Elephas maximus indicus: one gene and its partner. The protein of the gene in region 2 purifies or fractionates together with the protein of the main gene of each other region. This does not show direct contact. Links are inferred from orthologs where the notes say so. Each region holds a gene or a part of one and is shown on either strand. Other genes may lie near its edges.

Region 1 (7,845 bases), on a different chromosome or scaffold from region 2:
CATTAAGGGCGGACAGAGAAGGCCTGGACAGCAGGTCCTGGGAGGGTCTTTAGCATGCCTCCCCCCTCCCCCCGCCCAGACTCCCAGCCCTCCTTCAGGCTATGCACCTCACCTGCCTTCTGGACCCGACTCCCAGCCTGCTACGACCTCCCCCACCTGTTGGTGTGACCTCTCAGGGCCTGGACCCCACATGAATCAGCTGTAGAGGCTGGACCCCCCAGTTGGGGGTACTCAGAGCCCCTCTGGCCCAGGATCCTGCCCAGTGCCGGAGGGCCCTGCAGGGGGTGGGGAGCAGATGGGATCCCTGACAAGGGCTCTTTGTTCTCTGCTGGGAGGTGGGGCTGGCTGGCAGGGTGAGCTTGCCCCCGCCACCTTCCCCAGGGGGCAGGGCCAGACTGAATCTCAGTGTCGTCCTCGGGCTTCCGACTGGAGCCTGGGGGCTCTGGGGGGCTGTCAGTAGGATCTGCCAGTGGAGCCTCAGGAGGGGCCTTGAGTGGCCCCTTGACCAACCTGAGTCTCCCAGAGACCCTGAGGAGGGGGCCTCTAGTCCCCTGGTAGGACCCAAGAAAGCCAAGACCCCCTGGTGTGCATGGTTTCTGGCTGCCCCGGGTCACCCTGGTGAACCTCCCCTAGTGATGTGGTGGCGGGGGCCAGGGGTCTTCGCGTCACCTCACATGTGGAGCTGGTGCAGGGCCAAGGACAGGAGAGCCTGACGGAGGGGCTGAGTCTTCTCCCCTCTGCAGAGTGCCAACAGGAAATGGCCGGCCAGATTGGGGGAAGACTGAGGTGGCCCAGGGTCGGCCTTTTCTGGGCCTGGTGGTGGACAATAGACCCCGTCCCACCGAGGGTGACGTGAGCTGCTGCCAGTGTTGCTGTGACCACTGCAGACAATCCGAGCCTGTTGGGCTGATCTCGGGGGGCGGTCACTGGGGAGATGCAGTCAGCACCTCCCGGGGCAGTGAGCTGGCGTGGGGGTCAGTGGGTGGGCACTGAGGTAGGCAGGTCTTCACGTACATACTGTGGACAGGAACAAGTTCAGTCTGTCCCGTGGTGGCCTGTGTGGTCCTCAACAGGTGGCCCTGCCCCTCTCATAGAAAACAGGCAGGAGAGGACGCCCACATGCCTGGGCAGAACCAGCACCAGGTCCTCACTGCTCTGCCCATCCGCTTCCTCCCCCTTCCTGCAGGGGCCGGGGGCTGTGGGACCCCGGCATTGGAGAGTGCTGTGCACAGAAGGTCTGGGGGGGCCTGGGAGGGCATGAGGGCAGAGCAGCGAGGTGCTGTGATATAACCACCCCCCGACCCCCAGGCATCTACATCCTCATCGCTGTGGGCGCTGTGATGATGTTTGTGGGTTTCCTGGGCTGCTATGGGGCCATCCAGGAGTCACAGTGCCTGCTGGGAACGGTAAGGTGGGGTCCCTGCTGGTCCTGGGCTGGAGGGGGAGGCACCCGGGAGGAGGTGGCCCTGGTAGAGCTCAGGCACGTCCGCCCCCTCCCTCCCCTCCCCTCACCTGGTGGAGGGGCTGGCCGGCTCTGAACTTTCCAGTTGGCTCTTAGATAAACCATTATCTCTTTATCCTGATTCTAAGCCCCAAAGTGGCTCTCTCTTCCTTTGTTTAAGAAAAGCCACAAACACAACAGGGAGAGAGTCCCCGCCCTGCTCCCCTCTGGCCTGGTGGCCCCTTTCCCCTTGGCCGGGTAGGGGGTGAGGCTGGCAGTGTGCTGGGGAGCCTGTACCAGTGTCTCCGCTAGGGGAGACTGAGGCATGACGTGGCAGCCCCTCTGTGTTGGGGCTCACTAGGCACGCTTGCTCTCGTGCCCACCAGGTGGTGCGGTGGAGGGGCCTGGGGAGCACACCGCCCCCACCCACCATCAGAGCTCTGGAATCGGGGGTTGGGAGGATGCGGCTCTGGCATCTTGTTCCTGGGCTGAGTCCTAGGTTTTGCTCATGACTAGGCCTCATGGCTCACGCCGCCTGGGACACGGTGATTTGGTGATTACCCCCGCCTCCCATCCTGCTGGTCACTTGGGTGGCTGCATCTCGAAAAGGCAAACCCCATGCTGCCTGGTGGCCTGGGGCCCCAGGAAGAGCCCCCAGACTAACTTACTGCTTCCTCTGCCCACTCCCTCCTCCCATCCCGCCCTCATGCGGCCCCCCAGTTCTTCACCTGCCTGGTGATCCTGTTTGCCTGTGAAGTGGCTGCCGGCATCTGGGGCTTTGTCAACAAGGACCAGGTGAGCCAGGCCCACCAGGTGAGGTCCTCATCCCAACCTGGGGATGCTGGGGGGAGGAATGGCCCCTGTTCAGAGTGTGGGGGATGGTCCAGCCTCACCCACAGATGGCGGGTGTACCTTGGGGCTCCCCCCCGTTATGTTAGTAAGGTCCAGGAGGGCTTCCTGGAAGCAGCGACACTGGGCCTGAGCTGGGGCCAGCTAAGATAGGACCCCCCCCCCCGCCATGTATCTTGGGGACCCCGCCTTCCTAAGGTGTGTCAGGTGAGCACACTTGTCCACCTGAGGAGGTAGGCTCTGCTCTGGTGACCCCCTAGCCTGCTTGTCCTCCCTGCAGATCGCCAAGGACGTGAAGCAGTTTTACGACCAGGCCCTGCAGCAGGCCGTGCTGGACGATGAAGCCAGCAATGCCAAGGCCGTGGTGAAGACCTTCCATGAGACGGTGCGGCTGCTGGGGGTCTGAGGGGGTGGGTATGGGACCCATGGGGCTTGCAGGGCTGGGCTGTATGGGTGCACATGGGCCCCAGGAGCTCTAATCTTCCAGGGGTAGGGGCAGGGGCAGCCTGGGCGTTTTCCTCTGTGGGCCTTGGGGAGGCTGCTCCTCTCTGTCCTCTAGGTCCCTGGGTGGGAGTGGGTAAGCCAGGTCTCTGAGCAGCACACTGCAGGTGGCCATCTCGGGGCTCAGTTACCTTAGGAGGAGCAGAACAAGCCTGTGGGGTGGCCGCAGCCCGGCAGGATGCACTGTGGGGTGGGAGTGGGGACACTCTTCTGTGGCCATCCGGGCCCCTGGCCAGTGCTCCTCAAGCCCCCTGCCAGCCTGACTAAAGCTGCCCTGTTCTCTGCAGCTGAACTGCTGTGGTTCCAATACACTGACCACACTGGCCACTTCGCTGACCAAGAACAGCCTGTGTCCCTCAGGCAGCACCTTCCTCAGCAACGTCTTCAAGGTGTGCAGTGGTGGCCGGGGCTTGGGGCTTGCCATGGGGTGGAGCTGGGCAATGGTGGGCACGCATAGGGCAGGTTGTGCCCATCCTGGGGCCATGGCCAGCAGGGAGAGGACCACTCTGCCGGGGCCGGGCTTGCTGGGGTCACAGAACTGACCGAAGAGGGGCACCATCGCTTGCAGTCCAGGTGAGGTTGTCTGAGGCCCAGGGTGTCGAGTGGCCTGGTGGGATTGGTGTTTGGCTGCCCATGCTTGTGGTTGAGGCCGGAGGTGGCCCTTGGGGGCCTCAGCAACCTGTGGTAGCACTCAGCTATGCGGAAGTGATTTGAACCAAGTGTCCTTGGCCTGGGGATCTACTTTTGAAAAACCAGCCACTGAAAACCCTGTGGAGCACAGTTCCAATCTGACACACAGGTCGTCACCGTGCATCGGAGTGGATGCCACAGTAACCAGTTAAGAGCTAACCTGTGCTGAGAGTGCCGGCTGGCCAGGGTGGGCTGGGAGAGCCATGGTACCAGGTCCTCTGTGCGTTTTCTGTGTTGCCTGACTGTCACGCGAAACTTGAGGGGGACCCTGAGCCCGCCTGCTGTCTGTCCTTGCAGGAGGACTGCCACCAGAAGATCGACGACCTCTTTTCTGGGAAGCTGTACCTGATTGGTATCGCAGCCATCGTGGTCGCCGTGATCATGGTGAGCTGGGGCCTCGGGGGGTGGTGCCCAGCACCTGTGCCATGCCTCACGTCCCCTCTCCCCCGCAGATCTTCGAGATGATCCTAAGCATGGTCCTGTGCTGTGGAATCCGCAACAGCCCTGTATACTGAGGCTGGAAGCGGCCGGCCATGTGCACAGCGTCCCCGGAGGCGGCCAGCCGTGTGCACAGCGTCCCCGGTATTACTCTGTGCCGTGTACATAGCGTCCCCGGTATTGCTCTGTGCACTCAGCCTTTTCGTTTCCCAGGTCTCCTTTTTGTTCTCAAGCCCTTGCCACCTTTCCAGGGCTGGTGGCCCTCGTGGGTGACGTGGGAGTGGACCGGCGGCCTGGGGTTGCAGGGCAGGGCCCGTGAGGCTCCTCTGCTCTGAGGACCAGGGAGGGAGCCTGCCTGGCCCTGGGGCCTGACCCTGCAAGCTGAGGGGCCGCAGCCCTGCCCCACCCGTCAGCCCGCACCTTTTGTAGCCCTGACTCCCCCTCCTCTGACTGTTTCTAGAGCAGCGTTTGAGCTCTTAGCTCCACGGCAGCGCTCCTTTCTAACATGTCACCCCCAGCTGTAATTACGTCATCTCCAGTCACAACAGTCACTCAGTAAAGAAGGAAAAACCAGGCATGCTAGCACGGCTCAGACTCCCTTCCTGGGCCACACGGGGGTGGGCAGTGGGCCCGGGAGCACGCCACAGGGATGTGCCCCCTCGGTAGGCCGTAGCGCCCCTCCTTCCTTGCACCGAGCCTGGGCAGAGTGCCCCGAGTGGGGGCAGCGGGGAGATGTGGCGGAGGATGTGTGCCCCACTCCTGCGGGGCACCCTCCTCACCATTTCTGACGCCGCCCAGGCCTTGGGTTTCCGCCCATCCTGTGAGTGCCTCAGCTGTGGCCATGCCAGGCCCACTGTCTGGCTGGGCTATGAAGGGTTTGGTGGACACCAGGACTGCTGGTTCTTCCCCTTCCTTCCTTCCTTCCTTCCCGCCCATTTGGGTGCTTGTGAACCTTTGTTGGAGGAGCCAGTGGCTAGGGCAGGTCTGGTTTGGGAAGGGCTCAGCAGCCAATGGGGGAACCCAGTGAAGTGGCCCACCAGGGTGCGCTGGGACCCACCTGGATCTCTACCCTTAGTCCAAGCTCTTCTAGTCGGTGAGCATTATGCAGACCCACCTGGCTAGCCACCGCCCATCCCGGCACGGAGAGCTTTGGGATGGGACTTCTCCTCGGACAGGCTGCTTTGTCAGGGATGCTGGGCAACATCACCTGGAGTTAGGGTGGCACCCACCTGCGCACACGCTAAACTAACCCCTTGTGACAGCCCAGCAGTCTCCTTGGACTGGCTCTGGAACTCAACCCCAGCCCTGCACGGGGAGGTTAAAGGGTCTCAGAGGGCCTGCACCTTGCACACCTGGGCTGTAGGGTTCAGGTACAGGAAGGTCCATGGAGTCCATCCTCTCTGCTTCTGCTGTGCTGTGGGGCCCACAGGTACATCCGCCCAAGGCTGCAGCGCAGGGGCCTGGAGCCTGCCTTCTGCATGGCAGTGACCCACAGTGGGTTCCTGGTGAGGCTGGGGGTGGGGGGAGGTGGAGTGTTACGAGGTGACCCGAGGTTTACTGGAGACCAGGGGCTGAGGTAGGGGCCCAGCTTCCCCTCTTTGTGCTTCTGGGCTGGGCAGCTCCTTGAACCCTTGGTTTCCCAGCAGAGGCACCTCAAGAATGTGGGACAGGTGCCCCCATAGAGAAGGGGCAAAAGCACCGCCCACCTACAAGCCTGGGGGCCGAGAGAGAAGTGGCTGAGCTAGAGAACCTGGGACCTCGTCCTCCCTTACCAGGCAGGGAGGCGTGACCTGCCTTAGGCCAGTGAGAAGGACTAGGCTGTCAGCTCCCAAGCCTGCTGCTGCCCTCTGGTGCCTGCTCTTGGAGCACATACTTTCCCCGGGGCCCACCAGTCCTGGCTGACTTGGAAGTGGAGGGAGCGAAGCACTCGGTTCCCCTCCTCTCCTTGCCCAGCCCTCCCAGGCCTCATGGGCTCCGGCTCCCAGTGGGTCAGTGGCACCCAGGGCCCCCGGATGGGCGCTGACCCTGGAAGGATGTAGTCAGGGCAGAGGCAGCCTTGGCTTCCCCACCCAGGGGTGCTCCCTCCAAGCCTCCTCCTAAGCCACACCTCTCCACGACCACAGCAGTGGCCTCGGGAGACGGGGGGGCCACCATTAGTGCCTCCCCATCTCAGGTACGGCGCACACAATGGTTAGGGCACACGGGGAGGGAACAGCTGTGTCCTTGTCCCTGGGGAAACACCCTAGAGGTAAATCACAGCCCTGTCCCTGGGCAGGGCCCAGGAAGGTCCCCAGGGAGCAGGTACGAAGTGTTGCCATGGGGACTAGGGGAGAGGCTGGCGCGCCTGCAGCCCCCACGTGCGCGGAGCCCCGTTTCCAAGATGCCCCCTCAGCCCTCATAGGTCGAGACCCTGGTCTTGACCTGGGGCTGCGTGACTGCGGGGGCCCGCCTGGAGAATCTGGGGACTCCGGTGGGGCGGGGTGGGGCCGGCCGCTGGGACGCTGCAGGGGCGCCTTGGTCGGCACTGACCGACAGATGGAAGGAAAGGCAACGCATTGCTTCCGGCCAGGGCCGGAAGTGCCCGGGGAGTGGCTATGTGTCCTTGGAGCGCCAGAACCCGCTTCCGGCCTGAGGCCGCCGCAGTCCTCGGGGGTGCCGGCAGGTGGCGCTGGGCCCCGGGAACCCAGCACTGGCCGCTGGCTTTCAAGCATTCTGGGAGCTGCATCCGGGGGCCTCCCTCCCTTTTCTCCTTAGCCATTTCCGGTTTTTTTTTTTTTTTCAAATAAGCCCTGGGGCCTCCGGGCTATCATAAGCCAGCCCCTAGTGCAGGGGAGTGGCGATCTGGCTGAGACACATGCCCGCACAGGCCTACATGTCCCGGCAGGCCTCGGGAGCAGGGACCCAGTGCCTCGTGGGAGTTGTAGTTCTCTGCATGCAGAGGCGGCGGCCCCTGGCCGGCGGAGGACTCGGTTTCCCAGAGGGCCGAGCGCGGCGTCCCGGCAGGCGGCGCGACCAAGATGGAGGCATCCGGGCAACGGTGAGCTGGTAGGTTTGGGGTCGGGGAGGCCTTCGGGTGGCCGCTAGCCGCAGCCTGCATCCCGGTACCCAGCCCGACGTCTCGGTTTCCCCCGTCTTTTCGTGGCCTGGCCCTCGGGACCCCGAGCCTTCTGAGGCCTGGACCCGGGGCCCATCCCCCCGGCCCTGGCACGCGAGGATCTTTGATTGGTTCCCCGCCGCCGAGAGCTTATTGAGTGTCAGGCACAGGGCGAGGCGCTGGGCGCGTAGAGCGGTGTAAGGCCAGGCTCTGCCTTCAAGGCGGAGACAGACAAGCAGGAAGGAACCGATGCTCCCGGTCCCTGGGACCTGGTCTGCGCTGATCCGGGCCTGGGACACCCCCGCGCCTCAGCTCCGCCGGGACCCAGCTCTGCCCTCCGCTGAGCCCCTGAAGGAACCCGAGGCCTTGAGTCCAAGAAGCGACTCCCGGGCCTCCTAGTTCCCTATCGTGGGGCCCGGTCACTGTGTCCCCCACGCACCCGCTGCGTGCCCCACGGAACAGGCTGCTTAGTGACTTAAGGTGGTGCAGGGTAGAGTGCGAATTCGGAAAGCAACAGGTTCGTTGGAATTCTAGCTTCGACTTGGGCAAATTATATCCGCTCTGGCCCTGCTAGCTCTAAAACCCTCTCTCTCCTGAAGTCGTCCCTTCCCAGAGGAGCCCCGCCGCACAGAAATCGCGTCTCGCTTGCGTCTGACCCCATGGAGAGCACGCAGAGCCGCCCCTGTCTGTCGGTCCCCCTCCTCAGCGGGTGCACAAACCACGGCTTACCCTGCGCCAGGGAAGCTTGGTGGAGAGAAGCTGCTGGTAGCTGCCTGCGGGCGGTGCTGAAGGGTGAGACTGGGCCGTCCTCAGCCTGGGAACCAGCCCCAGG
Region 2 (7,553 bases):
AAAGGGAAAGAGGGGACCCAAAGACAACTCTTGAATTTATGGTTTGAGCATCCTAATGGTTGGTGCCATTAGTGAACTAGAGGAGACTAGGGGAGGCACAGATTTAGGAGGAAATCAGAAGTATCACTGTGACTATGTTGAGAATACGATGTTAATAAGACAACCAAGTGGAGATTCCAGAAAGGTAGATGGATAAGCAAATCTGGAACTCAGGGGAGAGTTCAGGACTGGAGACAAAAATCTGAGTCTCCAAAACATAGATGATTTTTAAAGCCACGGGGCACTAAATGATAATTACTACCTAAGCAGACAATATAAATGGAGCCCTGATGGCGCAGTGGTTAAGAGCTTGGATGCTAACCAAAATGTCAGTGGTTCAAATCCACCAGCTACTCCTTGGAAACCCTTTGGAGCAGTTTTATTCCATCTCATAGGGTCGCTACGAGTCGGAATCTACTCGATGGCAACGGGTTTGGTTTTTTTTTTCTGGTTTAGGCAATATAAAGAAAATAGAAAAGGACTCAGGACTGAACTCTGGAACACTCCCACATTTACAGATCAGGCAGAGGAGGAGCCAGAGAAAAAGACTGGAAAGAAGCAGTAGCCAGTAAGAAAGGACAACAAAAAGCAACGCATGGCATCACAGAAGTCAAAAAAGTATTTCAAGGAGGGAACGGTCAACTGTGTCAACTACTACTGAGGTAGAGAAAAAAAACAGGAGATAGAGAAGTGGCCATTGCATTTGGAAAAATGAGATTGTTAGTGACCTTGACAAGAGCTGTTTTTCATTGGTATGGAGGGAAGAGAAGCCTGAGTGGTTTGAGCTGAGGAGAGAATGAGAAGTGAGAATACGAAAACAGTGAATACAGGCAACTTTTATTGTAGGTTCTACTTATCACATAGGAATCCTGGTGGCACAGTGGTTACTAAGAGCTTGGCTGCTAACCAAAAGGTCAGCAAGTCAAACCCACTAGCCATTCCAAGGGAGAAAGATGTGGCAGTCAGCTTCCGTAAAGATTTACAGCCCTGGAAACCCTATGGAGCAGTTCTACTCTGTCCTATAGGGTAGCTATGTATCGGAATCAACTCAATGGCAGTGGGATTTATCACAAGGGTCAGATAATCAGGCTGACTCTGACCAACTGCTTCCAAGTAACCTCCTATCAAACCTCTAAATCTTGGCATTCCTCAGTTCATGTAGGACAGAGGCAGATTCTTTTTTGCTTTCAATGAAGTTTTTTTTTTTTTAATAATATTATATTAAGTTTTTGGAGAAAGTTTACATAGCAGATTAGGTTCCCATTTGATCATCTCTATACAAATTCCTCAGCGACAGTAGTTACCTTTTTCACAATGTGTCAACATCCTCTTTAATTGCACCTGGTTGTTCCATTTCCAGTATTCTAGTTTCCCTGTTCCCTTATCTTCTCATCTTTGCTTTAATTGTTGATCTTCTAATTTCATACACACGGTTTTTTAATAGAGCACCATACTCACAAATAATGTCCTTTATTTTGTGTGCCAATCTGTTATTTCACTAAAAGGTGACCTCAGAGGATAGTTTCATTCAAGGTTTATAAAGGATCTCATGGTAATAGTCTCAGGGACTCCTCTAGCCTCAACTGGTCCAGTAGGACTGGACTTCTTAAAAATTTGAGTCCTGTTCTATCAGGGTTCATCTACTGTGGCCCTGATAAGAATGGTTGGTAATGGTGGCCAGGCACCATATAGTTCTTCCAGGCTCAGGGCAGATGAGGCTATGGCTCCTGCAGGCTACTAACCCTATAGATTAGTTTCTTCTCTGAGACCTTTGCTCTGGATGAGCAGAGACCAGTAGTTGGATCTTAGACCGCTGCTGGCAAGCTTTTAAGACCCCAGATGCTACTCACCTCAGTAGGATGCAGAATATGAACTTTGTGAACTATATTATGCCAACTGACTGAGTTGTCCCATGAGGCTAAGATCCTAAGCATTCAAAGTATTTGGTTACATCTGAGAAGTACCTGTAACAGTATCTTCTATGAATATGTGTGCACACACCTATCTCTATATACACATACACATAGATACTTCTATTTGTGCACATATATGTATACATCTGCACCTACCTATATACAAATGTACCTATACACCTACATATGTGATCATACACTCACTTTTTGGTTATTGTTGGTGTTGCCAAGTTACATATGTCACATTGTTTAGTATAAATATCCTTTTCTCTTGTGTGGTTCTTACTGGCATCATTTTCTTTGGTCAAGCTGTGCTCATTACACCCACATTCAGAGCTACTCTTCCCATCACCAAAAATAACAAGTATCTACAATCTAGAGAGTTATACCCGCTCAATGAAGTATTTTATCAAGCATTCCCTATATGCAAGGCACCCTAGGCACTGTGTGAGTTGCTAATGGAAATGAGGAAGACCCTGTCCACAAGTAGCTCATAGTACAACAGAAGTGAGAAGACACATATAGTGGACAGATGCCAAGATGATGGCTCAGATGAAGGAGAGTTCAAACAAGGAGTTTCCTTTCATTTGTGAGAGGGGATGTGGAAGGCTCTGTAGAGGTAGTGGCTCTTGAGTCTTAATTATAGGTAGAATTTGAAGATGTATAACTGAGGGTACGGAAAGAATGTCATTCCCAGCAAAAGAAATAATACAGGAGGTGCACAGGCAGGAAAGCATAGATTGGTTCTGGGAGAAAAGCTGGAGTTCGTTTGGCTGGAACAAGGGCTACTCGAAATATGAAGGAATAAGGTCGGATTGGGCATATCACAGGTGCTGTGTCCTTGGACGGAGGTCTGGGCCCGTAATATCGTCGACTGGCCTATGCCCCCCAGGAGCCAACACCGCCCCTGGGGCCCCGCGCCCCTTCGCCCCAGCCCACAGGACCTTCTCGGGCTCGTGTCCCTTCCCTGAGGCATTCTTTACCCCCTTGGCATGTGCCACCACCATACTCCCATTCCCGCCCTTTCTGCAAGTTCCTGGGAACCGCCTCCATCGCCCGGGACTCACCACCCTGACTCTGAACCGCCCAACGCGGCCTCAACGTCGCGAAGCAGTCGCCATCTTTCCCGTTTCCTGGTCGCGGAGGTACGCCCCCGGCCGCGCGGCAAACTGGGAAGGCGAGTTTCAGACACCGGGCAGCGAGGGCCGACAACGGGAGAATGAGAACTACCAGTCCCAGAGTGCACGGCGCGAGCGCTTGCGCCAGGCCGCGGGCCGCGGGGTCTGCTGGACAATGTGGTTCGCCAAAACTTTTGAGTAGGCTAGGGGCGGGACCCGGACGGGGCGGGGGCGGGGGCGGGGGCGGGGGGTTAGTTTTCCGACGGCTGAGTTCCCGCAAGAGGTTCTCAGCTGCGTAATCTTCCTGGAATATGATGGTCTCGTTAGAAATTGGAAATCCTGGTGGTGTAGTGGTTAAGAACTACAGCTGCTAACCAAAAGGTTGGTATGTTCAAATCCACCAGGGGCTCCTTGGAAACTCTGTGAGACAGCTCTGCTCTGTCCTGCAGGGTCCTTGTGAGTCGGAATCCACGCCACTGCAAGTTTTTGTTTTTTTTTTTTTAAATTATTAGAAACTGCAGTCATAACGACTCTCATGGCCTGTGGCTTACAGGGGAAGAATTTAAGAGTTTCATTAGATATCAACAGCAAGTACTTACAACCGTTTGTGGAGAGCCGTTTTTGCAAAAACGTGAGGTTCGAGATTATTAGCCCCGTCTTAAAGATGGACGAACTAAGGGTTAGGTTACAGGGGTAGCCTAGTATTTCACAAGAGCGGGACAGTTCTTTGTGCGAGACTATCCCACCCTTTGGAGGACTTTTTAGGCAACCCTGGTCCCTCGGGGGTAAATGCCGGTAACCTCAGCTATTGTGACAACTCAAAAAGAACCCACACATTTCAGAGTCCTCCTAGGAGGGAAGTATCCCTGGGCTGTGGTACCCGTTTTCTCAACATTCTTTCTCCACATTCCAGGTAGGACCCTCGCTTTCTCATTTCCTTGCCTTTTTGGATCTGGATCTGGGCCTTCTTGGGATTTACACTTCTTTCTTCCTCCTATTACCCCCTCTTCACTCCTCCACTGAATTCCTTAACCCCATATTATGTGCTCATTTTGTTTTTCTTTGGGCTTATGGGTTCATAATGCTTCCTCTAAAAAAAACAAAACAAACAAAACTCTTGCAACTTCTAGGATGTTTAGATACCAGGAGGTATTTAGTGCCTTCTTCCAATTTTCCCATCATCAGCTTTGTTGTCTCTATCCCGCTGGGCTGTAGTCTGGCTTTTCTCTCTGAATATGATTTCAGTTCTCTCCAAGCAAAGCCTCAGGATAGACGCAAATAATGAAATCCTAAAACCCTGAGCATCACACACAATGGCCCAAAGTAACCCTGGGATCATTGCACATTTCTGCTCTTGGAACTCTTAAGGCTTTGACCTTCTCTCCGTTTCTACCCCAGAAATAAGTGAAAGAAAAAAAGAAGCCCAAGATCTACGAGATGTGATTCACCCAGTGAACCCTAGAGGGCTCTCCACTCACAGAATGGAACCCCAACTAAATTATACCCACAGGGGTAGCCTGGAAATCTAAGAGCTGCAGCTACTGTTGAGAATCTTTTAAGTGCCGAACTCTGTGCTGCCCTAACTTATGTTACTTAGTTTACTTAGCTCTCATAGCTGTATGAGATGGGTATTATTTCCATTTTACTGATAAGGAGATTGTGGCCCAATCCAAGCCAAGCCCACTGCCGACGCGTCAATTCTGACATAGTGACCCTATAGGACAGAGTAGAGCTGCCCCATAAGGTTTCCAGGGAGCAGCTCGTGAATTCGAACTGCTGACCTTTTGGTTAGCAGCCCATCCCTTAACCACCAGGGCTCTGATCGTGGCCCAGAAAGGTTATTTAAGCCTTCACAGGCCACATAATTAAAAGAATGGAGCTAGAATTCAACCCCAGGTTTATTTGACTTCAGAGTCCATGCTCTTTCCCTGTTTCCAGACTACCATTCTTCACCATCTTTAAAGATGAGGCTATTGAGACCCAGAAAGGTGACAAAGGCTGTCCACATTAATAGTTCTCCTAGTACTTGTACACACCTCTCTCATAATACAAATAAGATCTTGAGCTTAAAGAATACTCAGTGTTGTTTGTCTTACCCTGCTGGTTCTCTCCCAAACATGCATCTTTTGAGACAGAAACAGAGGGACTGTGCCCTAGGAAGGCCATAGGCAGAGTCTCCTATTTACATATGACATGGCTAACAGTAAGGGACCCACGGCATTATAGCTAACATTGAGACCAGGTTTGAATCCTGACTGAATTATTTACTGGTACTGCGATCTTGTGCAAGTTATATGGCATTAGTTTGGTTTTTCTATTTCCTCATTTACAAACCAGGGATAATAATACCGCTTGCCTCACAGGATGAGACAGCAGAGCAATTAAGAGTATAGGTTCTGGAGAGGCTGTGGAGAGACTGCAACACTTATACACCGCTGGTGGGAATGTAAAATGGTACAACCACTTTGGAAATCAATTTGGCGCTTCCTTAAAAAGCTAGAAATAGAACTGCCATACAATCCAGCAATCCCACTCCTTGGAATATATCCTAGAGAAGTAAGAGCCTTTACATGAACAGATATATGCACACCCATGTTTATTGCAGCACTGTTTACAATAGCAAAAAGATGGAAGCAACCAAGGAGCACATCAACAGATGAATGAATAAATAAATTATGGTATATTCACACAATGGAATACTACGCATTGATAAAGAACAGTGATGAATCCGTGAAACATTTCATAACATAGAGGAATCTGGAAGGCATTATGCTGAGTGAAATTAGTCAGTTGCAAAAGGACAAATATTATATAAGACCACTATTATAAGAACTCGAGAAATAGTTTAAACAGAGAAGAAAATATTCTTTGATGGTTACGAGAGCGGGGAGGGAGCGAGGGTGGGAGAGGGGTATTCACTAATTAGGTAGTAGATAAGAACTACTTTAGGTGAAGGGAAAGACAACACACAATACGGAGAGGTCAGCATAACTGGACTAAACCAAAAGCAAAGCAGTTTCCTGAATAAACTGAATGCTTCAAAGGCCAGTGTAGCAGGGCCAGGGGTTTGGGGACCATGGTTTCAGGGGACATCTAAGTCAATTGGCATCATAAAATCCATTAAGAAAACATTCTGCATCCCACTTTGGAAAGTGGCGTCTGGGGTCTTAAACACTAGCAAGCGGCCATCTAAGATGCATCAGTGGGTCTCAACCAACCTGGATCAAAGGAGAATGAAGAACACCAAGGACACAAGGTAATTACGAGCCCAAGAGACAGAAAGGACCACATAAACCAGAGAAACCAGAGACTACATCAGCCTGAGACCAGAAGAACTAGATGGTGCCCGGCCACAACCGATGACTGCCCTGACAGGGAGCACAACAGAGAACCCCTGAGGGAGCAGGAGAGCAGTGGGATGCAGACCCCAAATTCTCATAAGAAGACTAGACTTAATGGTCTGAGACTAGAAGGACCCTGGTGGTCATGGCCCCCAGACCTTCTGTTGGCCCAGGACAGGAACCATTCCCAAAGCCATCTCTTCAGACAGGGATTGGACTGGACAACGGGTTGGAAAGGGATGCTGGTGAGGAGTGAGCTTCTTGGATCAGGTGGACACTTAAGACTATGTTGGCATCTCCTGCCTGGAGGGGAGATGAGAGGGTGGAGGGGGTTAGAAGCTGGTGAAATGGACACGAAAAGAGAGAGTGGAGGGAGGGAGCAGGCGGTCTCGTTATGGGGAGAGCAATTGGGAGTATGTAGCAAGGTGTATATAAGTTTTTGTATGAGAGACTGACTTGATTTGTAAATCTTCACTTAAAGTACAATAAAAATTAAAAAAAAAAAAAGAAAGAGTACAGGTTCTGGAGCCAGAGTGCCTGGAGTTGAATCCAGCTTCTCCCAATTTGCAGCTATGTGACTTTGGGCACGGTAACTAATCTCTTTGAACCTTGGTTTCCTTGTCTGTAAAACCAGGTAGGTAATACCTCCTAGGGTTATCATAAGGAATAAAATATAAAGAACTCTTAAGTGCCCCTGATCCACAGCAAACATTGAACAAATGTTAGCTATTATAATTTAGGTTAAATGAGAAAGTGTAGGTAAAGCCCTCAGTACAGTGCTGAGCACATAGTAAGTACTCAAAAAATAACCTAAAACCAAACCCATTACCATTGAGTCGATTCCGACTCATGGCAATCCTATAGGAGAAGGTACAACTGCCCCATAAGGTTTCCAGGGAGCAGCTGGTGGATTCGAACTGCCAACCTTTTGGTTAGCTGCCGAGCTCTTAACTGCTGTTCCACCAGGGCTCCACTCAATAAATGGTAACTTTTTATTTTTGGCACTGTACTCTGAAACTTGAGCAGCCATTAACAATGGAATCAGAAGGTCAAGAAGGCAGAGAATCAAAATATATATAAAACTTCAGTAACAACAAAAAGACAATCCAATCATCAAATGGGTAAAGGACTTGAATAGAGAT

The links.
Region 1: the proteins of DDX23 (region 2) and TSSC4 purify together in Homo sapiens (affinity purification with mass spectrometry; 3 studies listed by BioGRID and IntAct, with this or other methods). This does not show direct contact. The link is inferred for Elephas maximus indicus from reciprocal best matches to the Homo sapiens genes DDX23 and TSSC4.

Annotation. Positions count from the first base shown.
Region 1 is NC_064825.1:135,485,994-135,493,838, reverse strand, and holds the start of TSSC4 (protein TSSC4), read left to right. Parts: upstream 1-4,605; 5' UTR 4,606-6,956; exon of another isoform or gene 6,957-6,964; intron 6,965-7,536; exon of another isoform or gene 7,537-7,805; intron 7,806-7,811; exon of another isoform or gene 7,812-7,845. Other genes in the region: CD81 antigen, read left to right, coding at 1,309-1,406, 2,162-2,236, 2,571-2,675, 3,079-3,180, 3,779-3,865, 3,934-3,996. UniProt on the Homo sapiens protein: Protein associated with the U5 snRNP, during its maturation and its post-splicing recycling and which is required for spliceosomal tri-snRNP complex assembly in the nucleus.
Region 2 is NC_064822.1:104,287,551-104,295,103, forward strand, and holds the start of DDX23 (probable ATP-dependent RNA helicase DDX23), read right to left. Parts: upstream 3,111-7,553; 5' UTR 3,020-3,110; intron 1-3,019. UniProt on the Homo sapiens protein: Involved in pre-mRNA splicing and its phosphorylated form (by SRPK2) is required for spliceosomal B complex formation.